4 linked regions of the Saccharomyces cerevisiae S288C genome follow. The gene in region 4 interacts genetically with the main gene of each other region. Each region holds a gene or a part of one and is shown on either strand. Other genes may lie near its edges. The genes, in order: TAP42, DUO1, STU1 and DAD1.

Region 1 (3,947 bases), on a different chromosome or scaffold from region 4:
ATAGTCGGATACAATGGTTCTAATCCCACCCCATTTCGACCGCTTGTTGAAGACCCTCGACTAGATTGTCCTGCAGACGGTAGGTTTGAATAAAAGCTCATCACTTGACGACTACCTTCCTTTCCTTTGCTTTATTTTCCCTGCTTATTCCCTTGCTTCTTCTGGAGCCTTCATGCAAAACCGTTTCTCTACCTAATGTGATTCTGCGGTAAGCATTGCTCTTAAGCATCTGAATGAGACGAAAGGATGACTCCACACTAAATTGTACCTCTCTTCTCCAGTGACTGAATTGGAGGTTACCATTGCCAGTGACGGTAATCGTCCACATCGATGATTTCTTAGTATAACCCACACACCTCTCAGACATAGAGGCCCCAGGTGCAACGTGATAGTATAACTGCCCGGAAGTAGAAATACAACTATTCCCTTCATATTAAAAGAATAAAACTTCATTTGAACTCTTTAAAATTTAGTGGTTCATTGTGGTCCTTGTGTAAACGGAAAAAAAGGATATTACGGTAGTGGGTAGTACATAACAAGAGATGACTATCCCTGGAAGATTTATGACAATTGATAAGGGCACTTTTGGTGAATACACTGCTAGCACCCGTTGGCCCATTATCATTCAGAATGCTATAGACGATTTAAGTAAGCATCAAGAAACGGAGAAGAGTAACGGCACTAAGTTCGAACAAGGTGAAGTTATCAAAAAGGAGCTCAAGGAATTCCGTCAGGAGATAATTGATCGTGTACCTTTGAGACCCTTTACTGAAGAAGAGATCAAAATTGCCAACGTCCCGCTTTCGTTCAATGAATATCTAAAGAAACACCCTGAAGTCAATTGGGGGGCTGTAGAGTGGCTGTTCTCGGAGGTTTACTTGTATAGAAGAGTAAATGTTCTTTTCCAACGCCAATGCGAATGGGCTAAATTTGACATATTCAACAGACTTAAACAGTCAACTTTTGAGTCCTCGTTTTATGGTGTCGTGGAATTGGCGTTAAGGTATGAAAATCTGTTACCACAGCTGAGAGAAATGAAGCAAAATCCAGGAAATGAGATTGACGATATATTGAAAGTTCTTTTTAAAGAGTTTATTGAGATTTCTTTGTGGGGCAATGCCACTGATTTATCTTTATTGACCAACGCTACGTTAGAAGACATTAAATCAATCCAAGGGGCGAAAGCAAGAGCTGCATCCGAGTCCAAGATTGTTGTTAATGACACGGAGAAAGCATGGGAGGTATTAACCAAAGCCAGGGCCGATGCCAATAGCAGAGAAATTCGTGTTGATTTTGTATTAGACAATTCTGGCTTTGAATTGTATGCTGACTTGATGTTGGCAGCTTTTCTGTTACAAAGTGGTTTGGCTACCAAATGTATTTTCCACGCTAAAGACATTCCATACATGGTTAGCGATGTTATGTTAAAAGATTTTGATATATTAGTTCATGACCTGAGAGATCGTGAGTTCTTCCCAAGTGGTGAACCCTCGACAAAGGAATCCAGAGCTCTTGATTTATTTGCTGGTGAAATGGAAAAGTTCGTCTCTAGCGGTAAGATAGAATTCCGCGAAGATTCTTTCTGGACCACGGAATTAGATTATTGGAATTTGGACGCAAACGAAACCAAATACCATGGATCCATTTTGCACAAAGATTTGCAAAAATCCAATTTGGTTATTTTTAAGGGTGATCTAAACTATAGAAAATTAACTGGCGACAGAAAATGGCCCCGCACCACTAAATGGGAAACGGCTATCGGACCTCTTGCTACGAATGGTATTACATCATTGAGCTTGAGAACCTGTAAAGCCGATGTACAAGTTGCTTTACCTGAAGGTCTAGACGCGAAATTAAGTCAAGAATGGGAAAAGGAAAATCCTGGCCGTGGTTCTTGGTGGTGTTGTAGCGGTAAATGGGCAGTCATTTGTTTCTGCTCTGGTATACATAAATAAGAATATGATAAGTTCTCTATATAACTTTACTTTATGACTTTCCCTATGAAATGTTCCAAAAAAGCACATAGATTTTTAGTACGTGCCTTTTATTTTATGTACTTCTGATAAAAAAAAGAAAGCTCCTAAGGACAAATTACAATCAATGGCGAAAGAAGAGGAAGAAAGTAATAACGAGGAGAGATCATAAACATGGCGTCAGTAACAGAACAATTCAACGATATTATTAGCTTATACTCAACAAAATTGGAACACACATCTTTGAGGCAAGATTCACCAGAGTACCAGGGATTATTACTTTCCACGATCAAGAAATTATTAAACTTAAAAACAGCAATTTTTGACAGGTTGGCATTGTTCAGTACTAATGAGACCATTGATGATGTGTCTACTGCTTCCATCAAATTTCTAGCAGTTGATTACTATTTAGGATTATTGATATCAAGACGACAGTCGAATGATTCGGATGTTGCTCAAAGGCAGTCTATGAAATTGATTTACCTGAAAAAAAGCGTTGAATCTTTCATTAATTTCCTGACACTATTGCAGGATTATAAGCTTCTAGATCCTTTGGTTGGTGAAAAACTAGGTAACTTCAAGGATCGTTATAACCCTCAGCTTAGCGAATTGTACGCGCAACCAAAAAATAACAAAGATTTATCTGGAGCACAGTTGAAGAGAAAAGAAAAGATTGAGCTATTCCAGCGCAATAAAGAAATTAGCACAAAACTGCACTGCTTGGAGTTGGAATTAAAAAACAACGACGAGGACCACGACCATGATGAATTACTAAGAGAACTATATTTGATGAGGTTACATCACTTTAGTCTTGATACGATTAACAACATTGAACAGAATTTATTTGAATGTGAAATGCTCTCTAATTTCCTCAAAAATTCCGTACATGAAGTCAAATCATCAGGTACTCAGATACGAAAAGAATCGAATGATGATGATTCCACTGGTTTTACCGATAAATTAGAGAATATAAATAAGCCATTGATAGACAAAAAAGGTCAAGTCTTGAGGAACTTCACGCTTGTCGACAAAAGGCAACAACTGCAACAAAAAGTGCGAGGATATGGTCAATATGGACCAACAATGTCGGTGGAGGAATTTTTAGATAAAGAGTTTGAAGAAGGTCGCGTTCTTCAAGGTGGCGAAGAACCAGAGCAAGCACCAGATGAAGAAAACATGGACTGGCAAGATAGAGAAACCTATAAAGCTCGTGAGTGGGACGAGTTCAAGGAAAGTCATGCTAAGGGAAGCGGAAATACCATGAATAGAGGATAGAAAAAAATACCTATATACGTACACATAAGTATCTATTAGACAGATTCATATATTATTTTTTTTTCTGCCTACATCAGTTATATTTTAATCTTGTGCAAAAGGACTTCGTTATTTTTATTCACGGTGATTAACACCGGCGTAGAATCTACAATCAGATTTGAAGAAAATACCACAGGCTCTTTTCTTTCCGAGAAGTTGATGTCTGCTACGACAAATTCGTCGATGGATGGTTTTAGGTTTTCTAAATTCCTAAACTCAAAGTCTCCATTACTATATGATACGGTGATTATGCTGTCGTTCAAATCGAGTTGTATTGGTAGTGTTGACGATGGAGTCAATTGTTCCTTCAGTACAACTTTTTTCTTATCAAAAGAATAAACCAATAATCTCTCATTGCTTAGCTGAATCAGTAGCTTAGAAGTTTTTCTATCCAAAAATAAATGGTAACCTTCTTCTTCTGGCTTACCCGATAATATTGTATCAATCTTCAAATCAATTTTTTGTAGAAGCTTACCCTCGAAATCATATATGGTAAGCTGGTATGGATTTGAAGACAGTAATATTAAGGATTTTTCTGTTATACCCAATATACAATCCAGAATGTTTGTGGAATCATTACTATCATCGTCATCATTATCATGTGTTATTTCATATGTTTCTTTTATGTTAATTGGGACATCCTCAGGAGCCTCTATATTG
Region 2 (3,607 bases), on a different chromosome or scaffold from region 4:
TGTGGGTGATTTGAACAAAAAGACCGGTGAAAGAGAAGTTTACTTTGATTTGAATGGTGAAATGAGAAAAATTCGTGTTGCTGACAGATCACAAAAAGTGGAAACTGTTACTAAATCCAAAGCAGACATGCATGATCCATTACACATTGGTGCACCAATGGCAGGTGTCATTGTTGAAGTTAAAGTTCATAAAGGATCACTAATAAAGAAGGGCCAACCTGTAGCCGTATTAAGCGCCATGAAAATGGAAATGATTATATCTTCTCCATCCGATGGACAAGTTAAAGAAGTGTTTGTCTCTGATGGTGAAAATGTGGACTCTTCTGATTTATTAGTTCTATTAGAAGACCAAGTTCCTGTTGAAACTAAGGCATGAACCGGTTAGTTCTCATTTATAATGTATAATATACCCGAATCTTATTTATTTACCTTTCCTATTTTTTGACGACCAGTAAATACTAATACATAATTAGGAACAAAAGTTAAATAAAAAAAAAAATAATAATTTAACGCATCCAATTAACGTGTCCTTTTTTCATCATTAATTTATCTACTATTTCGATTTAAATTCCATATACAATAAATCCTAGATACATTCCCGAAAGCATCTTTTAGCGAAACATCTTCCTTGAGCTGCTAGCAGTGGGCTTAGTCCACCTGTTAGTTACTCTTGGTATACCACTAGGTCTTTTCGAGGCAGGAACATGGGTCTTTCTTACTCTTCCGTTATTTGAAATTCCTGCCGAAGGAACGGGCCTTCTACCAGATTGCACACCGTACCTTGGATTTAAGCCTTGATTTGGTGGCTTTGCTGGTGCAGCATCCTTTTCACCCTTCCTATTTTCTAATTTTTGTCTCAAATCCAAGATCTCCTTCTTTTTCAACGCTATCACGTTGTGTAAAGTACTCCCATCTTCATCATTTGTGTTTACATTTTCATTGTGCAGTCTATCATTAATTAGCTTTAAATAGGTTTGATCGCTCATCAATTTATGAATATAACCAGCTTGAGAATGAATGTTGATCCATGAATCTAAAATGGAATTCGTAGATTTACATACCTCATGTACTTGATTAACGTATACTGGCAAGTTATTTTTTAATGCGGCCGTAACATTTTTTATCATTGCTGTTATTTTATCTAACGATTCTGATTCTTTGAGTAAGGATTGCGTTGTGATTGAATTAAACGATCTTATAGAATTGCTGTTAGCCGAAATATTATCGCTTGCTCCACCTCCTGTGCTTTTTGGAAATTTATTGGTCGTGTTATTGAGGTTAGATCTCATCTCATTGAAAATCTGTGGAATCAGTTTGTCTATAGTCGAATCATCTAATTGGCTTTGCTCACTCATATTGAAGACTTGTTCAAGTTTCAAATTATCTTCTTTAGTAATACTTGAGTCACCAGTCCAGATTACTTAGCCTATCTTTCTTTATCGCGTTTGATTTTGGCGTTTGTTTGTAATTATTATTCTTTTTTCCTTCGTTTCGCTGTGAAACTAACTTGCGCTGAGGTCCAAAAACCTCTCATCTAAGAATAAAGGAAAATACATATTATCCTGGGTCTAAAAGGCTAAAAGAACTCACCGTCAAGAGGAAGGGCTCAGAAAGTATGGGTGAGTCAATTGAAACAATTTGTAAAAGCCTTGTCAGGGCTTTCCAAGAGGAGAAGGATGATTTTGTCTCACTTGTAACAATCATTGATATGTACAACGAGCAGGTGAACTCTGGAAAGTCTATAAAAGAAAAGGAACGTTATTTGGATGCCCTATTGAAAATACTTAAGGATAATCCAGTTACCTTAAAGGAAATTGGCTGGGATCTGCCAAAGGGTTTATTGCAGTTTTTCTCACGCAAAAACATCAATGTCAATATACATCTAGTTTTTAGTCCCCTTGTTTCTAGTGTGATGGAATGCTTCAATGAGCTAGCCATCAATGGAAATCCGAAAGAATGCTTGTTGACCGCTTGCGAATTGGTGTCAACACTCCATATAGTCTTAACTGAAACTGGCGACTCCGATGAAGAGAATGAAGATTTAAATGACTCCAATAGAAATGATGCGTCAAACATTACTGATGAGCTGTCAGTTATCACTCCGGAGATTGGGCACTATATGGCCAAAAATACAGTAGAATTCATTCCAAATTTGAAAATTTACGTTCTCTTTGAATTTATGAGTTTATTGTTGAAACGTGTGGACACTTTATATCCATCTAAATTTCTAGCCATGGTAACTTCTGCAATTATTAAGTATGTAACAACCAACGTTCAGGCTATGGATGATCCACACTTTATTTTGCGCATAGTGTACAATTTTTGTACTAATTACTCTCCAGCTCAACCATCTGCTAGTCTGACCGATGGTATTAGTACAAACGATCTTGAAAAAATTCATGATGATGAATCTGCCTTACAGAAAAAACTACTGGCTAATCTGAGCGTATTCGTGATTAGCAACTGCCTAAAAAATCATCCAGGTAATATTGACAAGATATATTTCAAAACATTGATGCATAAAAAAACAGATGAAAATGAAATCGATGCTTCAGTTTTACAGATATGCCACCAATACTACGAGTATGTCACATCATTGGATGTCCACATGAAAGAACTTTTAGAAAAGTGCCTGGTAGAATCAAGAAGCATCTATAACTCTCTTCTCATGAACCCGGCCGCTTCCACGCCCGAATTCAAAGAAGAAATTAACCAACTAGTATATGAGGTATCTTACGCATATCAAATCAAGAAACTAGCTGACGAAAAGAACTTAGAGCTGGACCAATATGGAGTTGTGATTCTATCTGCAATACATTATTCTAAAAATGGTACTCACTTATTGCCGCAAATTGATATCCAAAGCGCAATTTACCTCTATCTACGGTGTACGACAGCTTCTTTATTTTCAGAAATATACGAAAATAAGTTTTTGGAAAGTTCAGTACGCTACTGGCTATGGGTATCCACAACCGAGACTTCCACAGAGAAAATAAAGTGTGCCTTACAAGAACTTCCAGGGCACATTACCACGGCCTTTTTGCAGATGTTACTGATGAAAACTTGCAATGAATCTAATAACGACACTAAGTTGACCGAAATTACTCTTCTGAGGAGGTTACTCTATCTCATGCCCGAAAGCACATCTTTTACGTTCATCTTTGAAACTCTACTACATTGTCCATATATAACTGCAAAGATTGCTGTTCTTGACATTCTAAGAGATATGATGATTAGATCTCCTGAGGCTGCTAATCGTGACGAAACTGTCGGTTTAATCGAACAACAGAATCCTGGGAATACCGCTAATAGTGTACCGATAATGCCAACTCTACCTCCAAGACCTTACATCACTATTAATGAAGATCGCATGGCTTCCATTCATAGCATTGCTTTAATATGTTTTTCTGCCGCCAAGCAAAAGAAAAGAACGCAAGGTGATTTACTCTTGGTACTAACATATATGAAATTTTTTGTTAGTTTAAGGAACAAATGGGATTTGGGTCTGTTAACACTCATCAATAAAGAAATCTCCGAATCATTTCAAGGAGAAGGTGAGCCTGAATTAGCATTCATCAACATTTCCAATAATACTCTGGGAGAATAT
Region 3 (7,256 bases), on a different chromosome or scaffold from region 4:
GAACTATTTCCTTTTTCATTTGTTTCTGCCTCAGAGCCTACATTATATGTTTGCTTGGAATCACTGAGTGAAAAGGGACCATGTAACTTTCTTTTTTTTAAAGTCGGAGTCTTTGGAATACTAAGGCCAAACAAGGGACTTGAATTCAAACTTTTTTTAATCACTGGTTTTTTTGTGGATGTGTTTACCTTAGAGGACGATGAAATTTGGTTAGCACGCTTTTCCATTTGTAATTGTAAAAATTGTTTAAACTCATCTATGTTCTTGGAAGTCAGATCTGTGTGAGTTTGACGCCTTTGATTGGAGAACTGCTCCCATTTAATGTATAGATCCTCGACGGACAATGCATGCAGTTTAGTTAAATTCTCTAATGCAGTGATGATTTCCGGCTTGTCTGCATCAGGCCCAAAATGAGTGATGACATCGATAGATCCGCTCATTTTTTTTTTTTTCAGTCACTTGCTCCTGCCTAAATTTACCTTCAAGCTTTGTTGAACCAATTGACAATCAATTATCTTGATATTTTTATATGCAAATATATTATGTATATGAAACAAAATGTTATATGTGTCTACAAAGAGCTCATATTATTACAGTTTTAGAAAAGAGAAAGAACTAAGAAACTCTGGTGAGACGCGTCACGGTAAAAAAAAATTACGCGTCTACCACGCTATTCTCTATTCGTTTGAGGCGATGAACATGATCATTTTAAAGACATTCTTAGGCAAACAATCGAATAATCGTTCGGTTTCTTGCTCAGTATAATCTGGAGTAGTTTGGAGGACTCTCAAACAACGAGCTAATACCACGGCACTGGTGAAGTTCCACGAAGTATTATCAGTCCCCATAATGAAATAGCTCATTGTTTGGATAATCTCTGATATATTAGATTTCTTGAATTGTTGGCAAATGGTAGGAGATTGCAGCATCTTCCATAAGGTCTCAATTAAAAATGTTTCTTTCACACCAGCGGTGTCAGGCTGAATTTCAGTAACCAACATGCTTAGAATTCTTGTTGCCGAATGTTTTTTGAAAAAGTGCGATAACATTAGACTGTCCCTGAACTCTTGCGCTAATTTATAGATTTCGTTTCCATAATCAGAAAATTTATTAAGCATTAAAAGGATCTGTTCCCATACTTCTTCGAAACACATTCTCACCGAAACGCCATCATCGTCGGCATTCTCGCTTAGTGTATTTAGAAACTTTTTCCAAACCAAAAGACAATGAACGAGAATTATGGACTTACTGGATATTTTTGATGGAATTGAAGGCGTGTCATCAGTAGATTTCAAAAGCATAATAGCAACATCCAGTAGTTCATCAAAACCATTTTCATTCGTCAACCAATCGGTCATTTTTTGATTTTGAAAACAAGTAATCAAGGGTTCGATCAGGTAATTTATATGTTTCATAGTGAACGATCCACTTTTTATCCTGTTTATTGCCTTTGACATGTGATTGAAATAGACATCAAAATCCATCAAAGTGTTGCCATTAGAATCAACCATTAAAAGATGACTAATTTCATATACAGTCAAGGAATCCCTTGGGAAATTATCCATGATAAGCAAATGCATCTTCTCTGATTTTTTGTTATTAACTAGTTTCATCTTTTTGGAGTTTATGTCTTGTTCAGTTAGTGCTACGTCTCTTTCTCTCTTTACTGTGATCCTTTGCTTTTGACCCATATTCTCGTCCCCGTTTATTTTGATTGGTGACATTGTTTCCAAATCAGGCTTTTCATTCTCATTCCCATTTCCAATAAGTTTTTCTGGCTCATTTATTATCTTTGGAGGATCTGTACTGAATTTTACTGTTGGTTCATTATCGTCCTTCAATTTCCTTTCGGTATTTTCACCACTGTTTTGAAAAATTTCACTTAAATTCAAATCAGATTTTTGAGAATTTTCCATATCTATATCATCTTCCTCCTTTGCTGGGTTTGGCTGGTCCAGTTGATAAACACTTACTATTTTCGTCATTTCTGAAAGCTTTTTATCTTTGTCATTATCATCATGAATAACTACGCTGTCTGTGCTTGATGTTCTTTTTCCAACGTTATTCTTCAACTCTAGTGTTTTATCAGTTTCCAAGTTTTTGAAGGGATTAATCATTGTCATTTCCATGCATTTCTTAACATCATTTTCGTCTACAGCATCGTCGGATTCCTCATCCCCTTCAGATTTTTTATTGTCGATGGGAGTGAAGCTTACAGAACTTTCTCTAGAAATGATGTCTTCTACCTTAAAGTTGGCATCCTTCTTTTCAAGTTCATGACAGATTTTCATCTTGGTAGATACAATGTCAAAATCAGCTAGCAATTTATTAAAACGATTATTATCGAATTTATAAATTTCAAAAATTAGATTGAAATAACATGTGTAGTCAAACTCTTTACCGTAGATTTGAAAGAGTATCATTGATATTTTAGGCATGAGATCGTTCGTTCCTGACCTCAGAGTGTTATCATGTTTTATGTTCAAGTTACGGAAAATCTCTAAAAGTAACTTGAAATTATAATTGAAAAAAGTGGTTTTGTATTTCATATAGTATAGTTTGAAATCATTCGGACAATTATTGGCATTCAAGAAATTGAATAAATCCGCGATAGTTATAATCAAGTTAGTAAGCTCGTAGGGCTTTTCAGGATTCATTCTATTCTTTAAGATTTCCGCGTAATCAAAACTATTAATAGAATATAGCTCAATGAGGTAATTTAAGGGAACTCCATTTGTAAACTTCTCTATACTCAAAAATGGCTTGAAATCATTTGGTGACTTTATCATAATTTGGCGTAGCTTTTTCATAATCATGGGAAATTCAAATTTTGGGGCTGATGATGACTGTTGCGATGTCAACAGTAACTCCTTTTGTAAATACTGTAAAGCATCTTTGATCTGAGCTGGAAACGAAGCATCATTGAATTTTTTGTAAAGGGTTTCATATTCACCAAGTTTATTACTGCCTTTTAATGAGATTGGAGAAGATGACATCGAAACATCATTTTTATCCATATATTTCTTTATCAACGGGTTAGAGTAACTATTTGATAACTCATCAGTCAAGTCGATTTGGTTTGACGGAAAGTCATCAAAATTTGTGTAATTTTCAGATACTTTTGTGGCGGCAGTAGAAGAAGGAGGGGCACTAACTTTTCTTTTAGTAACATTATTATTATCTTTGGTGTTGCTGTTTGAAACAGAGTTCATACTGTCATGATGCCTTGCCCTTTTTTCATTTTCTTTACTTGAATATTCACTAGTAGACCTTAAGTTTGTTTTCAGCTTATTTGATAGTTTACTGGCTATGACACTTCCACCAGCTGTGACTGCAGGAGCGTTGAGTAGGGAGGTGGAGGAAGATTGAGTCGGTTGGGCATAACTTGGATAGTTCCTTTTCTGCTCCAGTAAACTGGTTTTTCTTGAAGAATTATTCGAAGAGTGAGAGTACAATCGAGACGTTGCAGAGGAGGCGGAGGCAGTAGAGGACACCCTGGAAACTTGATAGTTTATATTCAAATGAGCAGGGATTGCCAATTCTGTTGCTTTTTTCAACTGTGGAGAAAAGGAAGAACTCAATAATCTTTTGGCATTTGTAGGATAACATTTGTAGAAATACCAAAAAGTTAACCTCATTGCCTCTCTAACGGTTGTCTGTGAATCTGAAATGCCCTTTTTTAGCCATTCTTCGATGTATATGATGTTATTCTCCAACTTTGAGGTTGGCGAAGTTGTATTTGAATTGTTGAGCGAAAGATTGGAGTCGTTGAACTTAATCAGGAAGCTACGCAGCAGTATTGCAGAGCAAAATCTCGGTGTTACGGTTTTCTCATTTATTAATAAAAAAGATAATTGGAATAGTTTATTATGGAAATGATTTATATCAATGATCAAAGTAATTAAACAATGAAATGCAGTTTGTGAAGAGATTTTCTTGGTAGATGATAACAAGTTCTTGAAAATGACAAATATTTGGTCCAATATTGATAGGGGCAACTGATCGTTTAGGATATGGATTAGCCTCTTGAGGAAAAGTAATGCAGTTAATGATAACGTTGTCCTCAACGACGAGGTAGCTCTTGAAATCAACTCAATCAACTGCACCTCCTTTATTACAGTGACAAATTCCTCTGGATTATCTTTGGGAATGTTGCCGGATATAATGTTGTCTAATTCAATTATATTTGATTGCCTTAGCTTCCAATTTTGTTCTGTTTCCTTTACACTTTGGAACGGTGCCAACAAATTCTCCAAGTCTTGTTGTAATTGGTTCAAAGACTCATAGTTTTTTTTCATCGCTGGGTCTTTACTGCTCAAGTTGTTTGATAACTGCGGCAATTTCGCTTCGGCTAATAGTAATTGAAACTCGTACTCTTCGTCAAACAAGGTCGATTTATCTTCTTGTGAACCATGCTGGTCCTGTGACTTTGCTAAACTTATGAATTTTTGCTTGAATTTCTCAACTTCTAAATCGTTAATAAATCCATCTATCAGATCCTGTGAATTTTCGTCATCCATTTTCAAATACTTGTACATTATATCGAAAATAAGCTCTATTATTACATTATTGTTATCATCGTTTGCGTGTTCATTTAGGTTGTTATTTAAAAGGTTGGTGAAAGACAGCATGAAAAACCTCAGTAGTTGCAAATGATTTGAATTATTTTTCTCGTTGATCTGGATCAACTCATCGATGGTCAATAATGTAGATTTTATCCTATTCAGGTAATCTCCGTTTTGGTTTTCACTTGGTCTTCGCAAGAAATTTGCTAGAATAGCTTGGATCTTCGATGGATTAACCAAATAAATGGCTTCAATGGCTTTAATGGAAGCCAGCCAAAATTTCTTCTCATTAGGCAACTCGAAAATTAAGTGGTTTAGTAATTGCTCAACTAGAGTGTCATTGAATTGTACTGGAGACTGCATGGCCACACGTTTGATAAGGTAACAAAGCGAGGAATGTGATAGGAAGATTAACCGCGGGTACGAACGGTAAGCGTAATGGCCGGAGATGAACAGTAACGCAGCGAAATAAGCTTGGATCGACGATTCGTTAACTAGTTCCTTTTTTACATGTCCTTTGAACCGTGTAAGCAGTGCCATTTTTTCCTCGATGGGTACAGACTCGTCCTTGAATACGGTATACAAAGGGAAGGAATCGTCTGGATGTGTATTAGTGTTGCTGTTATTATTGGTCTCATTGTTGAAGGACGACATTATTTCTGAAGAATACAAGGTCTCTCCAAAAACCCTAATAATTACCGCTAAATATGCCTGTCAATCGGATGAAGGGAAGTTTCAACCTCAAATGTAAATAAATAGATGTTTAGCGTTTTAGAATAAATAAGTAAATAATTTGATTTTCTATAAAGATGTTAATGCGCCAATACGCGCCGACGGGGTAACGCATTAAAATAACATGGTATTTTCGTTTCATTACAAAAAAAGCACTATATGTACTAATAATTATGCTACACTTGTGTTTATATTGCCAGCGTCGATGTTGATGACAACGCAGAGTTCATACGGTTTTGGTTTTGGGCTTCACTTGTCTCAGTAGGTTGAGGGTTTGTATGAAGTTTCAGAGGCTCCGTTAGTAAATGACCCATTCTTTCTATCTTGGTCCTGAGATAACCTTCTATCTCCTTGGAGTCTATGCCTTCACTGGAGTTTGTCCAGTGTATGGGTACCATAGGCACTCGTTCAACGCACTTAAGGTAAGGCGCATGATCTACCTGTTTTATCTTTTCCGGGTTATTTGTCAGCAGCCTGACATTACCGATGCCAAGATCCAGCAAAATAGCCTTACCCAGCGAGAAGTCCCTAGCATCCACGGGATGTTTCAGCATTAAGTTGGCCTGCACTGTGTCAGCACCTAAGTCTTGCAGGTTGTAGGCCTTGAGTTTCTCACCTAACCCGATGCCACGACCCTCTTGTCTTAGATACACGATAACACCATGGCCGTTTCCACCTTTGATGTTGCTTGTGGGTTCGTGGTCGCAAGCGATAAGCCTACCGGCCCTATCGAATTGTTCACCACAATCACAACGGGCGCTCCATGCGTTTTCACCGGTGTAACATTCAGAATGGATCCGTACCAGCGTGTCGTTATGGGCGTCCCATGTAGTGGCTTTGGAAGCTAATAACTCACCTGTACTATCATCAAACTCCAGAGCTAATCCGAGTCTATCGTCTTCGTCTGCCACAGTTCTGCCGGGATACAGTTTGCCAATATAAGCGCCCCTGATCATTCTATCTTGTTGCGTCTCGCACTGTCTTCTACGGAATAGCGAGCGCGACCGTATGTCTTCACCAAACACAATGGCTAGATGTTCCTTGTTGTCCCTGTTGTTACTGTAAAGATGTAAAAAGATATCCGGACCCTGTGTGGTTGGGATACGAGCTCTTGCGACACATTGTACTAGAGGCAAGCCGCCATCGCCGTTCCTGCCATCACCCGTACCACTAACCTCGTATTTGCTGCTATCCTGTTTACTGTTGTCGTAGTTATCTATGGTCATCCTGTAGGTTTGTTGTAGTTTTATGTACGCCACTTTTTGTAATGACTCAATTATTGTCCACGCCAGCACAGCAACTTCTTTATATATACTATAGCGGCGCTGGCGCTCACCCCACAAGAGCGTCCGACTAATTTCTGACAAATCGTAAAAAGAAAAAGAAAAACTCAAAGGAAAAAGAAAAAGTCTCACCCTACACAACTTGTTTTCAAAAACGGTATAGACCCTACTATTTCTGTTTTAGCCCTATGCTAAGTCTAGACATTACCCTATCCCTTTTAACGAAAGCCCTTTTGTTTTTTTTCTGTGTGTCCGGCCGCTCAGCCAAACAACAAACAAGACTATAATCTGGAGCATAAGTACCCGAGCATATATAACTACTTGGCATACGAAGTAAAAGCATATTGCTCCCCACTCCTATCGCGCGTCCCCTGTACAACAAAGCATCAACTTATCGGGTAACTTAGAGACAGCATTAGTATATATACCAGCCATGTCACAGTTCTTCGAAGCTGCTACTCCCGTTGCAATTCCCACAAACAATACCAACGGCGGCTCCAGTGATGCCGGCAGCGCCGCCACTGGCGGCGCCCCCGTTGTTGGCACCACCGCTCAACCCACCATCAATCACAGGCTTTTGCTGTCATTGAAAGAGGCTGCCAAGATCATTGGCACTAAGGGCTCCACCATCTCACGCATAAGAGCTGCAAACGCCGTCAAGATCGGTATTTCTGAA
Region 4 (3,024 bases):
AGGGAAGTATTTGCACCGAAATGTTTTAGAAGGAAAAGAAACTCTAATACGACTACAATGGGAAACCATAATGCGCGTTTGGGTTCCAGTCCATCTTTTTTAACACAAAAATCAAGAGCCTCGTCCCATGATGCATCGAATACGTCTATGAAGACTCTTGGTGATTCATCGTCACAAGCGAGTTTACAGATGGATGACTCGAAAGTCAATCCGAATTTGCAGGATCCTTTCTTGAAAAAATCGCTTCATGAAAAAATATCTAATGCTTTAGATGGCTCGCATTCAGTAATGGATTTGAAGCAATTCCACAAAAACGAACAAATAAAACATAAAAACTCTTTCTGCAACTCTTTATCACCCATTCTCACTGCAACCAATTCTAGAGATGATGGCGAATTTGCCACCTCCCCGAATTATATCAGCAACGCACAAGATGGTGTTTTTGATATGGATGAAGATACGGGAAACGAAACTATAAATATGGATAACCACGGCTGCCATCTTGACTCTGGTAAAAACATGATTATAAAGTCATTGGCGTATAATGTTTCAAATGACTATAGTCATCATGATATTGAATCAATTACGTTTGAGGAGACGTCCCACACCATTGTTTCAAAATTTATCTTATTGGAAGATTTGACAAGAAACATGAACAAGCCTTGTGCACTGGATCTAAAGATGGGGACAAGACAATATGGCGTAGACGCCAAAAGAGCCAAGCAACTGTCACAGCGTGCAAAGTGTTTAAAGACCACTTCTAGGCGTTTAGGCGTTAGAATCTGCGGATTAAAGGTTTGGAACAAAGATTATTATATCACAAGAGATAAATACTTTGGTAGAAGGGTTAAGGTTGGTTGGCAATTTGCTAGGGTACTTGCACGTTTTTTGTATGATGGTAAGACCATTGAAAGTTTAATCAGGCAAATTCCAAGGTTGATCAAGCAACTAGATACTTTGTATTCTGAAATTTTTAATTTGAAAGGTTACAGGCTATATGGCGCGTCTTTATTACTAATGTACGATGGAGATGCTAATAAATCAAATTCTAAAAGGAAAAAAGCTGCTAATGTTAAAGTCAACTTGATCGATTTTGCACGTTGTGTTACTAAAGAAGATGCAATGGAATGTATGGATAAATTTCGTATACCCCCAAAATCGCCAAATATAGAAGATAAAGGGTTCTTACGAGGTGTGAAGAGCTTGAGGTTTTATCTGTTATTAATCTGGAATTATCTGACTTCTGATATGCCGTTAATTTTCGATGAAGTAGAGATGAATGATATGATTAGCGAAGAAGCAGATTCGAATAGTTTCACCTCCGCCACCGGTTCGAAAATCAACTTCAACAGTAAGTGGGATTGGTTAGATGAATTTGACAAAGAAGACGAAGAAATGTATAATGATCCAAATAGTAAACTAAGACAAAAATGGAGAAAATACGAGCTTATTTTCGACGCTGAACCAAGATACAATGACGATGCTCAAGTTAGTGATTGAAAAGAAAGGATAGAACTAATGAATATTCTTTTAGCTGCGCTTATTTCAGTCCGTAAATGCATTTATCTATTCGTAACTATCATTATTTTGATTGCATAATCCAATAAATACACAAACGAGCATAGCATATATAACTATATATATGAAAAGACAAACGAATTTGTACGTGTATGAATATGACTACACGGTTATAGGCGATCACTAGAACCATTGAGCGGAAAGGGCCACCTCCGGGTAAAAGTCAAGGCCGCGAAAATAACAAAGGGAATAAACAGTCACCTTTAACAAGAGGAGGTAGTAATTAGCGTAGGAATAGGACTGATGAAGAGCTCGGACGTGTGAGGATATATGTACATATGATGGCTAGTACATCCAATGATGAAGAAAAGTTGATATCAACCACTGACAAATACTTCATCGAGCAGAGGAATATAGTATTGCAGGAGATCAATGAGACTATGAATTCAATCTTGAATGGTCTGAATGGTCTCAATATATCATTGGAGAGCTCGATAGCTGTGGGAAGAGAATTCCAGTCAGTTTCTGATTTGTGGAAAACACTTTATGATGGGTTGGAAAGTTTATCAGACGAAGCGCCCATCGACGAGCAACCTACTTTATCTCAATCGAAAACGAAGTAAAGTTGCGGTTCCCTCTGTCTCTCCTAATATTATCCTAAATTTATGTTTACAGTCGCAAATTAGATAAAGGATACGTAAGATATAAATTGTAATTTTAGCCTAATGATAAGTAAGTTGTGGACAACTTTTGCACGTTGAAAAAAGTGGAGGGCCACCGAACTCTTTTTCAAACGTTCTCCTCTTTGAACTTAGTTGTCTACCGTTTTGGATGGTAATAGCTGTTTCTTGGATAGACCTACCTTATATTTAACCTTGTTAGAATCCACCTGATAGAATGTCTTGTTCGTTTCATATATCAAGTCCTTTAGGCTCTTCTTCTTCCTTGGAGGGCTTTTCTTCATTGAAGGTGGTGGTTGTAGCCTGTCAAGCTCTTTCGAGGGACCTCCTTGGTATTGATCTTGTTCTCTTACTCCTTTTTTGGCGTCCAGATAAGCACCCCCATTGGGGCTTCCGCCACCTGTGTTCTCAGACAGATTTTTGGCACGAAGTTGTTGTTTTTCCAATTCCAAATTAAACAGTCTTCTTTCTACAACGTTGATGTTGACTATGGGAGAAGTCGTAATAGACCTTTTGTTCTTTCTTGCTGGAGCAACTTCGGTGCACAAGCTCTTTTCGGCATTATTATGTACCCCGAGTGGTATATAGGAGCAGCTTCTCCTATTTGATCTTTGTTGCATCGTCTTGATTTCTCTCTTTCGTTCGTCTCTGACATGTAGTTGTAATTCAAGAATTTAACCTGGGCGGCTATCTTAATAAATAGTGCATTACTCAAGCAAAAATCAGAAACCACGTACGCTAATTAAAGCCGTGAAAAACGAAAATATAAATATGCGAGAGTATACATTAAAATATTGTACATGTTAGCGACGCAGATTTATACCTC

The links.
Region 1: mutations in DAD1 (region 4) and TAP42 together harm fitness more than expected from each alone (negative genetic interaction), as found in Saccharomyces cerevisiae (2 studies listed by BioGRID).
Region 2: mutations in DAD1 (region 4) and DUO1 are lethal when combined (synthetic lethality), as found in Saccharomyces cerevisiae (3 studies listed by BioGRID, with this or other methods).
Region 3: mutations in DAD1 (region 4) and STU1 together harm fitness more than expected from each alone (negative genetic interaction), as found in Saccharomyces cerevisiae (3 studies listed by BioGRID, with this or other methods).

Annotation. Positions count from the first base shown.
Region 1 is NC_001145.3:325,335-329,281, forward strand, and holds TAP42 (Tap42p), read left to right. Parts: upstream 1-2,147; coding exon 2,148-3,248; downstream 3,249-3,947. Other genes in the region: PEX12 (ubiquitin-protein ligase peroxin 12), read right to left, coding at 1-101; YMR027W (putative methyltransferase), read left to right, coding at 543-1,955; FAR8 (Far8p), read right to left, coding at 3,326-3,947. UniProt on the Saccharomyces cerevisiae protein: Involved in negative regulation of the TOR signaling pathway in response to type of available nitrogen source. Inhibitor of PP2A phosphatase SIT4, which results in inhibition of nuclear export of MSN2, due to lack of dephosphorylation by SIT4.
Region 2 is NC_001139.9:388,357-391,963, forward strand, and holds DUO1 (Duo1p), read right to left. Parts: upstream 1,356-3,607; coding exon 612-1,355; downstream 1-611. Other genes in the region: PYC1 (pyruvate carboxylase 1), read left to right, coding at 1-376; YBP2 (Ybp2p), read left to right, coding at 1,709-3,607. UniProt on the Saccharomyces cerevisiae protein: Component of the DASH complex that connects microtubules with kinetochores and couples microtubule depolymerisation to chromosome movement; it is involved in retrieving kinetochores to the spindle poles before their re-orientation on the spindle in early mitosis and allows microtubule depolymerization to pull chromosomes apart and resist detachment during anaphase.
Region 3 is NC_001134.8:153,171-160,426, forward strand, and holds STU1 (Stu1p), read right to left. Parts: upstream 5,220-7,256; coding exon 678-5,219; downstream 1-677. Other genes in the region: DNA-directed DNA polymerase alpha subunit POL12, read right to left, coding at 1-440; RIB1 (GTP cyclohydrolase II), read right to left, coding at 5,486-6,523; HEK2 (Hek2p), read left to right, coding at 7,014-7,256.
Region 4 is NC_001136.10:477,591-480,614, reverse strand, and holds DAD1 (Dad1p), read left to right. Parts: upstream 1-1,856; coding exon 1,857-2,141; downstream 2,142-3,024. Other genes in the region: inositol polyphosphate kinase KCS1, read left to right, coding at 1-1,500; HED1 (Hed1p), read right to left, coding at 2,330-2,818. UniProt on the Saccharomyces cerevisiae protein: Component of the DASH complex that connects microtubules with kinetochores and couples microtubule depolymerisation to chromosome movement; it is involved in retrieving kinetochores to the spindle poles before their re-orientation on the spindle in early mitosis and allows microtubule depolymerization to pull chromosomes apart and resist detachment during anaphase.